Macaca fascicularis: one gene and its partners. The protein of the gene in region 1 purifies or fractionates together with the protein of each later gene. This does not show direct contact. Links are inferred from orthologs where the notes say so. Each region holds a gene or a part of one and is shown in the gene's direction. Other genes may lie near its edges. The genes, in order: CD151, ITGA3 and ITGB1.

What was found.
Region 2: the proteins of CD151 (region 1) and ITGA3 purify together in Homo sapiens (co-immunoprecipitation; 4 studies listed by BioGRID and IntAct, with this or other methods). This does not show direct contact. The link is inferred for Macaca fascicularis from reciprocal best matches to the Homo sapiens genes CD151 and ITGA3.
Region 3: the proteins of CD151 (region 1) and ITGB1 purify together in Homo sapiens (affinity purification with western blotting; 4 studies listed by BioGRID and IntAct, with this or other methods). This does not show direct contact. The link is inferred for Macaca fascicularis from reciprocal best matches to the Homo sapiens genes CD151 and ITGB1.

What each region holds. Positions count from the first base shown.
Region 1 is NC_088388.1:734,650-738,906, forward strand, and holds the start of CD151 (CD151 antigen), read left to right. Parts: upstream 1-1,457; 5' UTR 1,458-1,705; intron 1,706-2,424; exon of another isoform or gene 2,425-2,583; intron 2,584-3,277; 5' UTR 3,278-3,339; intron 3,340-4,026; 5' UTR 4,027-4,176; coding exon 4,177-4,257. Other genes in the region: CRACR2B (EF-hand calcium-binding domain-containing protein 4A), read left to right, coding at 47-221. UniProt on the Homo sapiens protein: Structural component of specialized membrane microdomains known as tetraspanin-enriched microdomains (TERMs), which act as platforms for receptor clustering and signaling.
Region 2 is NC_088390.1:56,644,002-56,647,501, reverse strand, and holds part of ITGA3 (integrin alpha-3), read left to right. Parts: intron 1-973; coding exon 974-1,060; intron 1,061-1,456; coding exon 1,457-1,664; intron 1,665-2,136; coding exon 2,137-2,333; intron 2,334-3,500.
Region 3 is NC_088383.1:33,709,449-33,713,693, reverse strand, and holds the start of ITGB1 (integrin beta-1), read left to right. Parts: upstream 1-1,445; 5' UTR 1,446-1,548; intron 1,549-1,721; exon of another isoform or gene 1,722-2,645; intron 2,646-4,245.

The sequences.
Region 1 (4,257 bases):
TTGAGCTCCCTCAGACCCTCTCAATGTCTGACTCCTCCTCTCCTAGGGAACTGAACACACGGCTGCGGGATGACAGGGACGCCTGCGAGGCCAGGCGGGCAAGTGGCAGCCGCAGGAAGGCTCTGACGACTGCCCACCTGCCTGGGCCCACCTGCTGCTGCTGCTGCTGCTGGGCTCGGCCCCACAGACGAGGCTCTGGCCACCTTCCCAGTGCCCGGTGACCAGCTCCGAGTGACTCAGAGCATCAGCTAGAAGCTGCTCTTCTGGGAGGCTTGTCATGGGTAGGGGGTACCCACTCAGGATGTGGGCTCTCCCCAGGGGGCCCCAGGATCGCCTGACTGAAGAACTGAAGACATGAAGGACCTAGCCTGGGAGTGGTCAGGGTCCCGTGTGCCCTCTGCCAGCCTTCGCTCTGTCCCCAAGCAACCCCAACTCAGTTCAGCAGAAAACCCCCCTCATCAAATAAAACCTACTGACTGCACTGCATCCTCCTGGGCCTTCCGTGCATCTGGGGGCCACAGCCTGTGTGTGCCACATGCATGAGGTGGGCACTGTGCACACGTGCTGTGTGGGTGAACACAGGGAGCACGGGCCTGCGGCGATGGGGCTGAGGTCCTGCGTGTCCTCTTGTGTCCCTGGTTATGCCCCAAACTCACACTACCCATCAAGGCTGGAGCCTCCACAAGGCCCTCGCCAGTGTGTGGATCAGGGTTCCCCACTGTCTCACCAGGGAGCCCCGGCAGTTCCTAGCCTCAGTCGGCCACCCCCTCCCATTCTGGTCCTCACCTGTGGCAGTGATGAATGAGCTTGGTGGGTGGGGAGCCCCCTCCTTCCTCACTCCCACTCTCCGCCTCTTGGTGCAGCCCTAGGCCGGCCCTACCATTCCTCCTTCACCTCCTCCCACCGCTCCCAGTGGCCCCTTCCAGTCTAGAGGGCATGGGCCCCCCAGAACCCCATGGGTATCTCTCGCTGGGACCCCAGGCCTGCCCGGGTCTCCAGGCTGTCCACACTGCACGCAGAGTAGCCCCTCTCCTGCATCTACCCACAGCGCTAGGCCCTCCCCTCCCCCAGGCCGGCATCCGTTCTGCCGACCCCTGCAGCCTCTGGGCGGTTCCTGGGTGCTGAGAAAGAGATGGGGGTTAGGCATGGAGGAGGGCCCGGTCGCCACAGCCCAGGCCCTCTGGCTGGGCTGGTTGCCGTGTTATCTCCGGGCCCGCCTCCCGCCCAGCTCCTCTGTCCCTGGACCGGATGAGCCCTTGATGGGCTGTTGGCACCCCCAGGGCTGCAACTCGCCCGGCCTCCGCAGTGTCGGGTCGACCCCCAGCGCCTACACCCACCGGCTCCCGCCCGCCACGCGGGTTCAGACCTGTCGAGCTCCTGACGCCCCGGGCGGGGCTTGAGGCCGGGGCGGGGCCTGGGCGGGGCGGGGCGTCCCCCTCGGAGGCGCCGGGCCGCGCATTCTCAGCGCTGGGAGCCGCCGCCCCCGCAGCCGCCGCCGCCCGGTCCCGGACTCCGACGAGTGGTAGGTGAGTGCGACGTCACGGCAGCCCGACCGAGCGGGGCGAGGGGAACGAGGAGGCCGAAGGCCCTGCGCGCCCCAGTCCCGGAGGCCCAGCCGCAGGCGCCGGGAGGTTCCGGGAGGCCGCACCCACCGCCTGGCCCAGCTCCTTCGCAGGCCCTTCCGCGGGAGGCGGACGCCGGTCGGGTGAGGGAGGCGCAGTGGCAAGGAGAGGCGCCTCCCGGACTCTTGGACCGGCCTGACGGCACCCTTCGGCCCAGGGGTCCCGGGACGCGCAGCCTGGACACCCTGCTCATTGTCCCTGGACACGGCAGCCTTCCCTCCGCCCGCAGCCGCCCCCGCCCGCGTGCAAGTGGGCGCGCCATTGGCCGCGCCGGGCGGGGTCGGCGGCGGTGACCTCATTGCAGTGCCGCGGGGACGCTTGGCAGGCGCGGAGTCCCAGGTCCTCCTGACTGGGGCTCCCCCTGATAGGGCGCGGGTCGCCCAGGGGCCTGGTGCGGGTCCCGGGGACTCGGGGAGGGCCGGAGAGCTATTTTTGGATGGCCTTTTCCCAGGGGGTTCAGAGGGACTAGGCATTCCTGGGAAGAGGGGCCACTCCGCAGCGGGTCGCCTGTGTCCTCGCGGTGGAGGCCGCATCTGTGCCTTGAACCAGCCTCTCCAGAAAGCCTGGGACCTCACAGCCAGGCCAGGGGCACATCCGTGAGGGGCTCACACATCCCCCCAGCTCAGTGACAGACACACATCCCCCCCATCGGTGGCAGGCACACCGCCCCGCTGGTGGCAGGGTCTGCTCGTGCCACCCCTCGTGCGTGTATTTAGGCCCTGGGCTTCATGGAGGGTGAATGTCCCCTCTCAGCTCAGTGGTCAGGTCTGTCCCCGCGAGCTTCATGATGCTACTTTCCCAGGCTGTAGCTGCTGCTGTTTGGGGCAGAAGGGCCAGTGATGGGCCTGGAGCGAAGGCCAAGAGTGGGGCACCTGGGGAAGGCATGAGGTCCCTCCCAGGATCAGACACTGTCCGGGAATGTCCTCTGCCTTGGGAGGCCAAGGCGGGTGGACCACCTAAGGTCAGGAGTTCAAGACCAGCCTGGTCAACATGGTGAAACCCTGTCTCTACTAAAAATACAAACATTAGCTGGGCGTGGTGGTGGGCGCCTGTGATCCCAATGACTCAGGAGAATGAGGCAGGAGAATTGCTAGAACTCAGGAGGTGGAGGTTGCAGTGAGCCAAGATCGAGATCATACCATTGCACTCCAGCCTGGGTGACAGAGCGAAACTCCATCTCAAAAAAAGGAAAAAGGCCGGGCACGGTGGCTCAAGCCTGTAATCCCAGCACTTTGGGAGGCCAAGACGGGCAGATCATGAGGTCGGGAGATCGAGACCATCCTGGCCAACACGGTGAAACCCCGTCTCTACTAAAAAAATACAAAAAACTAGCCGGGCGGGTGGCGGGCGCCTGTAGTCCCAGCTACTTGGGAGGCTGAGGCAGGAGAATGGCGCGAACCCGGGAAGCGGAGCTTGCAGTGAGCTGAGATCCCACCACTGCACTCCAGCCTGGGCGACACAGTGAGACTCCGTCTCAAAAAAAAAAAAAAAAAAGGAAAAAAAGAAAAGAAATGTCCTCTGCCTTGCCCCACCCTAGCCCAGACTAAAATACCAGGCTTGGCCACTCCTCTCTCTGCCTCCAGAATGAACCCAGCCCACTCTGGCCCTTGGGCCAGACGTGTAACCTGTGACCTGACGTGTCCTTGCCCCTCTAGCCTAGAGTCCTGGGGAGCTTCTGTCCACCTGTCCTGCAGAAGAGTCGTTCCTAGCCCGGTTGGTGTGTGCTGGGCAGGGTGGGGCAGAGCAAGCGGGGCGGTGAAAGTCCAGGCCTGGCTGTGCTGTCTGGAAACGTGGCCCGGGGCGCTCACCTGCTGTCTGCACCCCACGCGGTCCCTGCCTTCCCTGTGCTCACAGCTTGCCCGCTGCTGCATGTTGGGCAGGGCACGGGGCCTCTGGGGAGGGGCACAGCCTGTCTGTGCTGCCCCCTCGTGTTGGTGTGGGTCCCCTGTCCAGGAAAAACCCTCCCAGTCTGCCAGACTCCACCTGCCTCCACGCTCCATTCTCCCCACTCGGGCCAGGAGGAAGGAAGGGCTGCCCTTTAACAGACCGTAAACAGGCCTGGAGAGCCTTAGGAAGGGGCTGAGCTGGGGCCTGTCTGAGCCTCTGCCCCTTTGCTGTCTCTGTCTCTGAGTGGCCTCCTCCGCCCTCACTGAAGGCCCGTAGTCTCCTGTCAGCCTGTGACGTGGGGCCCCGGGAATGCCGTGGGGGGCGGGCAGGCTGGCATGAGCTCACCGGAGGTACCCGCTAGGGCTTCCTCCCCGGGCCGCCAGCAGGGATGAGTCAGCAGTGATGATGGGCGGTCCTCCATGACCCCTGGCCTATCTGTGGGCACCAGGGGTCTCTCGTGGCTGCACCTGGTCAGGGCTCCTGAGTCGCTAGGAGGTGACACGTCATGTTCCCACAGGGGCTCCTTCGCAGGTCTCCCAGGACAGTGGCTGGCTCCACCCGACTCCTGGGCTGGCTTGGGCATCTGTGTTCCCTCCTCCTATCTGTCCCTGTCAGGGGTCTGGTGCTGTGGCCCCGCTGACCCCTCCCCTGCCTCCCCAGCCCCAGGATGGGTGAGTTTAACGAGAAGAAGACAACATGTGGCACCGTTTGCCTCAAGTACCTGCTGTTTACCTACAACTGCTGCTTC
Region 2 (3,500 bases), on another chromosome or scaffold:
CTTTGCCTCCCTCCATCACACAGGTTAGCAATAGTGACCCCTTTTCCCTTACTGAACCTTTGTTGTTGCAGAATCAGCAGGCAGAGGAGCCTTGAATCTCCTCCTGACCAACAGGTAGCCCCAGGCATAGTCACAGCTCTGGGCTCACTGAAGGCTGAGGCCTCTGCCCCCTCTTCTGCTCCTGCCTTCCACCCCCTGGTCATGTCACACCTTGGCAGGGTCACAGATACTCTCCAGCAGCAGCCCTGGGTGCAGGGTCCAGCTAGGCAGCCCAAGTTTGGGGTCAGGACCAGAAAGAGGTAATGGTGTGGAGTCTGACCTCAGTGTCTAGAGAGTGGGGAAAGCCATCTAGCTTCTAATATCCAGGCGCCTGAATGATTAAGTTCTAGCCATGGCTGTAACAACCAGCTCCCCATGGGATTATGAGCAGGTCAACTTCCCTCCCGAGTCTCACTTTTCTCATCTGCAAAACGGGGGTCATAATTTCACCTCGAAGAATTGTTAAAATAGGCCAGGTGCAGTGGCTCACACCTGTAATCCCAGCACTTTGGGAGGCTGAGGCAGACGGATTACTTGAGGCCAGGAGTTCGAGACCAGCCTGACCACTGTCTCTACTAAAAATACAAAAATTAGCCGGGCATGGTGGCACACGCCTGTAATCCCAGCTACTCAGAAGGCTGAGGTAGGAGAATCACTTGAATCTGGGAAGCTGAGGTTGCAGTGAGCCAAGATCACACCACTGCACTCCAGCCTGGGCAACAAGAGCGAGACTCTGTCTCAAAAAAAAAAAAAAAAAAAAAAAAGAGGAAAAAGTAATTGTTAAAGAGGATGTGATTAATAAATGGCAAAGTGCTCACCAATAAAAGGGGTTATTATTATCCTTGTTGGGTGGGGATGGGGGTGGGCTGGACATGGTAGAGGAAACCAGTGGTGACTTATACTCCCTACTCTCCCTCCCTCAATCCCTGTGAAGGAAACAGCTACATGATTCAGCGTAAGGAGTGGGACTTATCTGAGTATAGTTACAAGGACCCAGAGGACCAAGGAAACCTCTATATTGGTGAGTACAGTAGTGGTAGCCCATCGAGTGATAGAGGGGAAGGGGGCTTAGTCCGTGGTGGAAATGTGAGGCCAGAGTGCAGTTGTGACTAATGGCATTTAGTTAAACTAGCACATGCAGATTGACCAGCACCTGTATGCCAGGCCCTGTTCCAAGCTCTCAAGATGCAAAGTTCTTGCCTTTAGGATACTCACAGTCCAGTGTCCAGGCAGAACCAGGGCTGGGATGGGGCATGGCTGCTGGCCATCTGGAGTCTACTTACTTGCCCTACTTGGAATAGTGGGATAGAACATCATGGTGGGGGGCAAACCAAAGGAGGGGATAGGGAGATGGGTCCAGAGTAGAAAGAGACAAAGTTGACTGGGACCTTGGTTGAACATCTTCCCTCTATCCCAGGGTACACGGTGCAGGTAGGCAGCGCCATCTTGCACCCCAAAAACATCACCATTGTGACAGGTGCCCCACGGCACCGACATATGGGCGCGGTCTTCTTGCTGAGCCAGGAGGCAGGCGGAGACCTGCGGAGGAGGCAGGTGCTGGAGGGCTCGCAGGTGGGCGCCTATTTTGGCAGCGCCATTGCCCTGGCAGACCTGAACAACGATGGGTGAGAATCTAGGGACATCCTCTGGGGCCAGGGAGAGCGATGGGTGGGGGAAGGCTTACCTAAGCCAGGTCAGGGGAGTGGAGGATTTGCAGTTGTACAGCTGTCTGCATGTTGTTTGCAGGGGTTTGCAATCAGGCTTTATGGGAGTCTGGGCATTTGCACATGGCATTTGTGGGACCCCTGCATATGCTTGTTTCTGCTTGGGATTTGTATGCTTCAGTGGATGTGGGTTGTTTGGGTTTGATCTGTGCCTGCATGGCATCGCCATGACATATGTCTTCTATTTGGGGAGTCATATTGGCATCTCCATGTCCTTCCCATGCACATGTCCTTCCCACCCATGACCTGTGGCCAAAAGAGCCATTTACAGAGCCCTGTGCCCTGGCACAGTCACGCCTGTCAAACAAGAGCTATGCTGCATATTGGAGGCTGACCTCACACTCCCATTTCCCTCTCCTTCTCTCCTGTGCAGGTGGCAGGACCTCCTGGTGGGCGCCCCCTACTACTTTGAGAGGAAAGAGGAGGTAGGGGGTGCCGTCTATGTCTTCATGAACCAGGCGGGAACCTCCTTCCCTGCTCACCCCTCGCTTCTTCTTCATGGCCCCAGTGGCTCCGCCTTCGGCTTATCCGTGGCCAGCATTGGTGACATCAACCAGGATGGATTTCAGGGTATAAGCCAACACCCCTCCCCCAGCACCCCTGCTGACTGAGCGCCAGCTGCACACCAGGCTTGACAGGGCCCACAGATGAGACAGGATTGGGCCGGACCTGGGGAGCTCGCAGCAGTACTAGAGAGAGGATGTGCAGGTGTGCAGAGGGAGCAACAGAGGCAAGCTCAGTGGCCTCCTGGAGGAGCTTGCATGCTGCTGTGCAGCCAAGGCTGGGCTGAGAGTGCACAGTAGAGAACTGATGGGACACAACACGGGCATGGAAACTGGCCTGGTGTGCCCAAACCTGCAGGTGTGGAGTGTTCACATCAGAGAGGAGGCTGAAGAGGGAGTGGAGTAGGGTGGGGTGAGAGTGGATGATTTGAAAGCCAGGCGGAGTATCTTAGGGATTTATATTTGGGTAATGGTGATGGTGGGGTGGTGGGGCATCCAGAGAGAGTTTTAGGGCACAGATGTGATATAATAACTTTGTACCCTGAAGGATGATTCTGGAAGGGGTATGGGATGAGTGAGTGCAGGGGTGGAGCAAGGCTAGGGGAGTGAAGATCAAGAATGTAATATCTCAGGTAGGGGATGATAAGGAATGGGACAAGGTGGGAGCCCTGGATATAGGGGTCCTCATAAGTGTTCTGCAGGACTTGGGAACCAATCGGACCTGGGGTATCAGGGACAGGGGCAGACCCAGGGCTGGAGTCAGTGCCATAGGGGCACCTGGCTTTTCTGAAAGTCACTTTGCTGATAACCTCAGTTTCCCAGGACATAGCTGAGAATGAAGAGGAAGGCAAAGGAGCCTCTGAAGACCCAAACTAGGTGCCAGAAAGTTCAGTCAACAGAGGCCAAGTGTGCACTGTGGAAGTCATTTGGTTTCTGCCTGGGACCTGCTTCCGCTCTCTTTACAGGGCTTACTAACAAGCTTGGCTTGCTGATTCCCTAGGCCTTATCTGATCCAAAGCTGCAAACTGGGAAGAGTTCAGTTTAAGAAGATAACCCAACACTTGGGGTTTATTTGTGGAGATAATGATTAGAATGTTAAAAGCCTTGACACTTTCAGTGATGTTCGCTGTAGTGTTATGGTTAAAATCCCAGCCACTGCTGTGAGACGGACCTGGGCTCAAATTTCCTCTTCTCTACACTCAATGGTTGTGCAACTCTGGGTTTTTGGAGTGTC
Region 3 (4,245 bases), on another chromosome or scaffold:
TACAGTTTTCTGTAATGAGACTGGGCTAATTCTGATGAATTCTCAACAATGGTAAAATCCATACCTTTAAAATTCAAGAATGTTGTGTTCTAATGGCAGTTTGACCATTGAGATATTAACATAGGAACATCATTTAGCCTCTTAAGCTTGAACATCCATTAAGCGGGAAAAATAGTGCTTATTTCCTAGAGGTCTGCAGACATTGGCTAACCAATAGTTTTGATTTTGCTGGTAAGTAATGTGCAAATTTTCTTAGATGTGATCGCCTCATTTTCTCTTATATTTTAGATTGGCAGCAGCCAAATGGGCGTTCCAGCCCCTCATCTCCTGCAAGATTCTTCTCAGTTTCATAAATCTGGTAATTTTTGAGCTCTTTTCCCAACAGGGTGCTGCAGCTCACCAAGTGGAACCTACAACATTTTCTGCTACCAGGATAGCAGCTTGCCAGCAGCGTATACTGAAATTACTGGGTTTCAGTATGATGTTGGTTGGTACGAACTTCAATCATCGAATCGACATGCGCCCAGCCATTCTCATAATGAATGTTTCCTTCTCTTTCAAACGTTCTGTTTCCAGCCCCCATCTCCTTTTTTTTTTTCTTTTTTAAAGAGGTTTGAAACAGAAACTCTACTCCGTAGGAAGAAACTTTTCCTTCTCATCCCTGTTCCCCATAAAGGGACCTCCAGATAAATCTATCAAAAGCAGGACCCAACTCACCAGGTTTTCTAAAACGTTCCCCAGTCCCACCACCCTTCGTGGCACCCACGGGTTTCCCAAGTCTTCACCTTTCTCTTAGACACACGCTAGCACATTATCACTCCAGAAAAGCAGTCCTGGCTTAGCCAGTTCCCTTCCAGAATGACCACGTGGTTTTTGGCCCCATGGAGTCCTGCAGGGTATGGGGGGGTTCATGGTACCGATTTGCCTCGGGACTGAGGGGGCTTCCGGGATGCAGGACCTCCCGGGCTCTCAACGGGACATCAGTGGACAAACGGGAGGGAGGGTCGGACACGCGGATCCGAGGAAGCGGAACTTAAAGAACACGGGCCCAGCAGGCTACACCAGGAACGCGCGGGGCTTTAGGGCGCAACCGACCCCTCCCGCCCTTCACAGAGGAGGAAACTGAGGCATGGCGACTGTCTCAGCGGAGTCCCGGCCCTGCCCTCCACGGCCTCCCTCAGGCGCGCTCCCGAGCGGGCCAGTTCCTTTGTCCCGGTCGCGCTTCCTGCCTCCTCCTGCGCCTCCTCCTCGCCCCGGGGCCGGGCTGACGCGGCGGGAGAGGAATGCGTTTCCGGAGGGAGAGGGCGGTGGCGGCCTCGGGAGCGGGATCAGACGCGCAGAGGAGGCGGGGCCGCGGCTGGTTTCCTGCCGGGGGGCGGCTCTGGGCCGCCGAGTCCCCTCCTCCCGCCCCTGAGGAGGAGGAGCCGCCGCCACCCGCCGCGCCCGAGACTCGGGAGGCCCCGCCAGCCCGCAGGAGAGGCCGAGCGGGAGTCGCGGAACAGCAGGCCGGAGCCCACCGCGCCGGGGCCCGGACGCCGCGCGGAGAAGGTAGGCGCCGGCGGGCCTCGGGTGTGGGGGTGCGGGCCGCGGCCTCGGGTCTGCGGTGCGCAACAGCACTTAACAGCCGCCGGCCCGGGCCGCGCCGGGACCTTTGTGCCAGGCGTGGGGGCGGGGGCGGGGGCGGCCGCGGGCCGGTGGGGGCTGGGGCGGGATTCCAGGCTAGTCCGGGAGGAAGTCCGCACACCGCCACCCCCCTCGGGTCCCAGGCGCTGGCAGCGTCCGGGCGCCGAGTCGGCCCAGCCGCGTTCCGAGCGCTAGGGTCGCGGGCCTGGGCGCTGTCACGTCGGGGCTGCTGGAGCTGCGGAGGACCGGGCCTGAGCGGCTCCTGACACCTGCGGTCTCCCGCCAGGCTGGGCGAGCGCAGGTGGGAGCCAGCGAGGCCACCCGGGGCTCGGCGTTTAGGACTCAGCGCGCCCCTGGACTGGTCCTGCGCCTTTGTCTCTCGCTCCCTCGCTGGCTGCTGTTTTTGGAGCAGCGTCGAGCCGGCCGTCGGCGCCCGCTGTTGGGACTGGTCTTCTCCGACTGGAGCCGGGATAGAAAGTGGCCTCGCGGAGCCGCTGGGGACCGGGGGCGCGGCGGCGGCAGTGCAGTTCACTTCCCGGTGTTTATAAACGCGAATGCCGGGAAGTCAAGAGTCGCCGGCCCCTGCCGGGCACCCCGGGACCAGGACACAGGGCCACGGCCACTTTGCGCTCAGACCCGGTCCGCGAGCCTGAGAGCCCGTCCTGTGTCTAGTATCATTTTTACCGCGTGTCATTTCTTAGGCTTCATAAATTGGATTTATGAGACTCCCACTCTCTAAGTAACTTTCATTTAATCAAATTCGTGCTTTTAAGTCCAAAGCTTTGCACTCATTGGTATGATCATTAGTAAATTGCATTCTCTAAGCTTCCGTTTCCTCATCTGTGAAATAGGAACAATACTACCTACACTAATAATTCATTTTTATAACAATGACAGCGAGGGCCAGGTTTAGCTCTAGGCATTTCATGTGTATTATTTAATTCTGGAACTGCTCTAATGAGATTGCTACTGTTTCTATTTCCATTTTCCGAGTGAAGAAACGGAGGCACAGGGAGCAAAAAGTAAGTTGCATATGGTCATCGGGAGCTCCTGGAGAAGGCATGGGGTCTAGCTCCAGAGCCTACGTTTAAACCAAAAGTAACCTTCCTAACTATAGTCGTGAAAATCAAATGCAAAATGTAAAACACTTAGCTTGAGAGTAGATGCTCAATGAATATTGACTGCTTTTCAGCCCTTCTTTTATAGTAAAAAGATTTCTCGGAAGGTAATTGGTAACATCATTAGTAAGGTTTCTTTGGGCCAACGTGCCACATGGATAACAGGTGGATAGAATTGCTAGGTTATTTTGTTTTGTTTTGAGACAGGGTCTCTGTCGCCCAGGCTGGAGTGCAGAGGAGCTATCACAGCTCACTGCAGCCTCAGCCTCTCGTGCTTAAGTTATTTTTCCACCTCAGCCACCTGAGTAGCTGGAACGACAGGCGCCTGCCACCATGCCCGGCTAATTTTTTAATTTTTTGTAGAGACAGGATTTCACTATGCTGCCCAGGCTGGCCTCAAACTCCTAGGCTCAAGCAGTCCTCTCTCCTAGAGCTCCCAAAGTGTTGGGATTACAGACTTGAGCCCCCTGAGCCTGGCCCTTAGGTTATTATTATTTTTCTTATTGTACTTCTGATGCTACAAAAATAACGTTCTAGAGGAATTTAGACATCTTTCTTAAACCACATATGCCCTTTACGATAGGGTATACAATAGGCCACTTTTAGAAATGATTAAGGAACTTTAGTTGGCAGTTACCTGTTCATTTGTGGACATCAAGGCCCAGAGGGGTCAGGACTTAGAGTCTCACTGTAATTCTCATATTTTTAAATAATGTTGGCTCATTGATCAATATTATATAAGTGACTGAAGATGGTGAAGTGTTAAATAAAAAACATTGGTATTTTGATTACAGGCATTTGGGGGGAAAGCCATTTTACTTACCCCAAAATTGAGTATGAAGGTGGAAGATGTTATTAGAATACTAGCTAAAAGGACAAAGAATGTGGTTAATAGTTTAATTGTGTAAAAAGGAAGCAAATAGACTGTTTAACTCATCTATGTTGACTTCAGACCTAGACCTACAATTTTATGTGATTTTCCTAACAATGTAAAGTTCTGTATTAAAGTTATTTTTGAATACCTTCAACATTCTGTACATGAAATGCATGGAATCAACAATTCTGAAAGTCACTGCATTTAGTAATTTTAACAATTAGGCAGCTTTCTTCTTAGCTTTCTGGTCAGTATAATTTAATTTAAATCAGCCCCAAATTACCATCACGAATGAAAATGTAGTTCTACATTGGTGTTCTTCCTAACTCTGGGAGTGACACTGGGGACAAATGGTCATACTATAATAATGAAAAGTGGTCAAACAACATGGTGCCAGTTTTTCTAAGAGTGCTTGCCACTGATTTTAATGTCTTTATTGTTTGACTTCTTGATAAGTAAGTTGTGGCTTACAGCAGGGAGTAGTACAGTGTTCTGTCCGAAAAAAATATTCATTAATATTCTGTAGCTGCTCTGGTTTGCCCTTAACCATGCTGCTAGTGTGATAAGCTGAAACATCTTGTAAAAGTTTCAGAGAGCTTTCAAGTTCCGAGAACTTAACTTTCTGAGTAT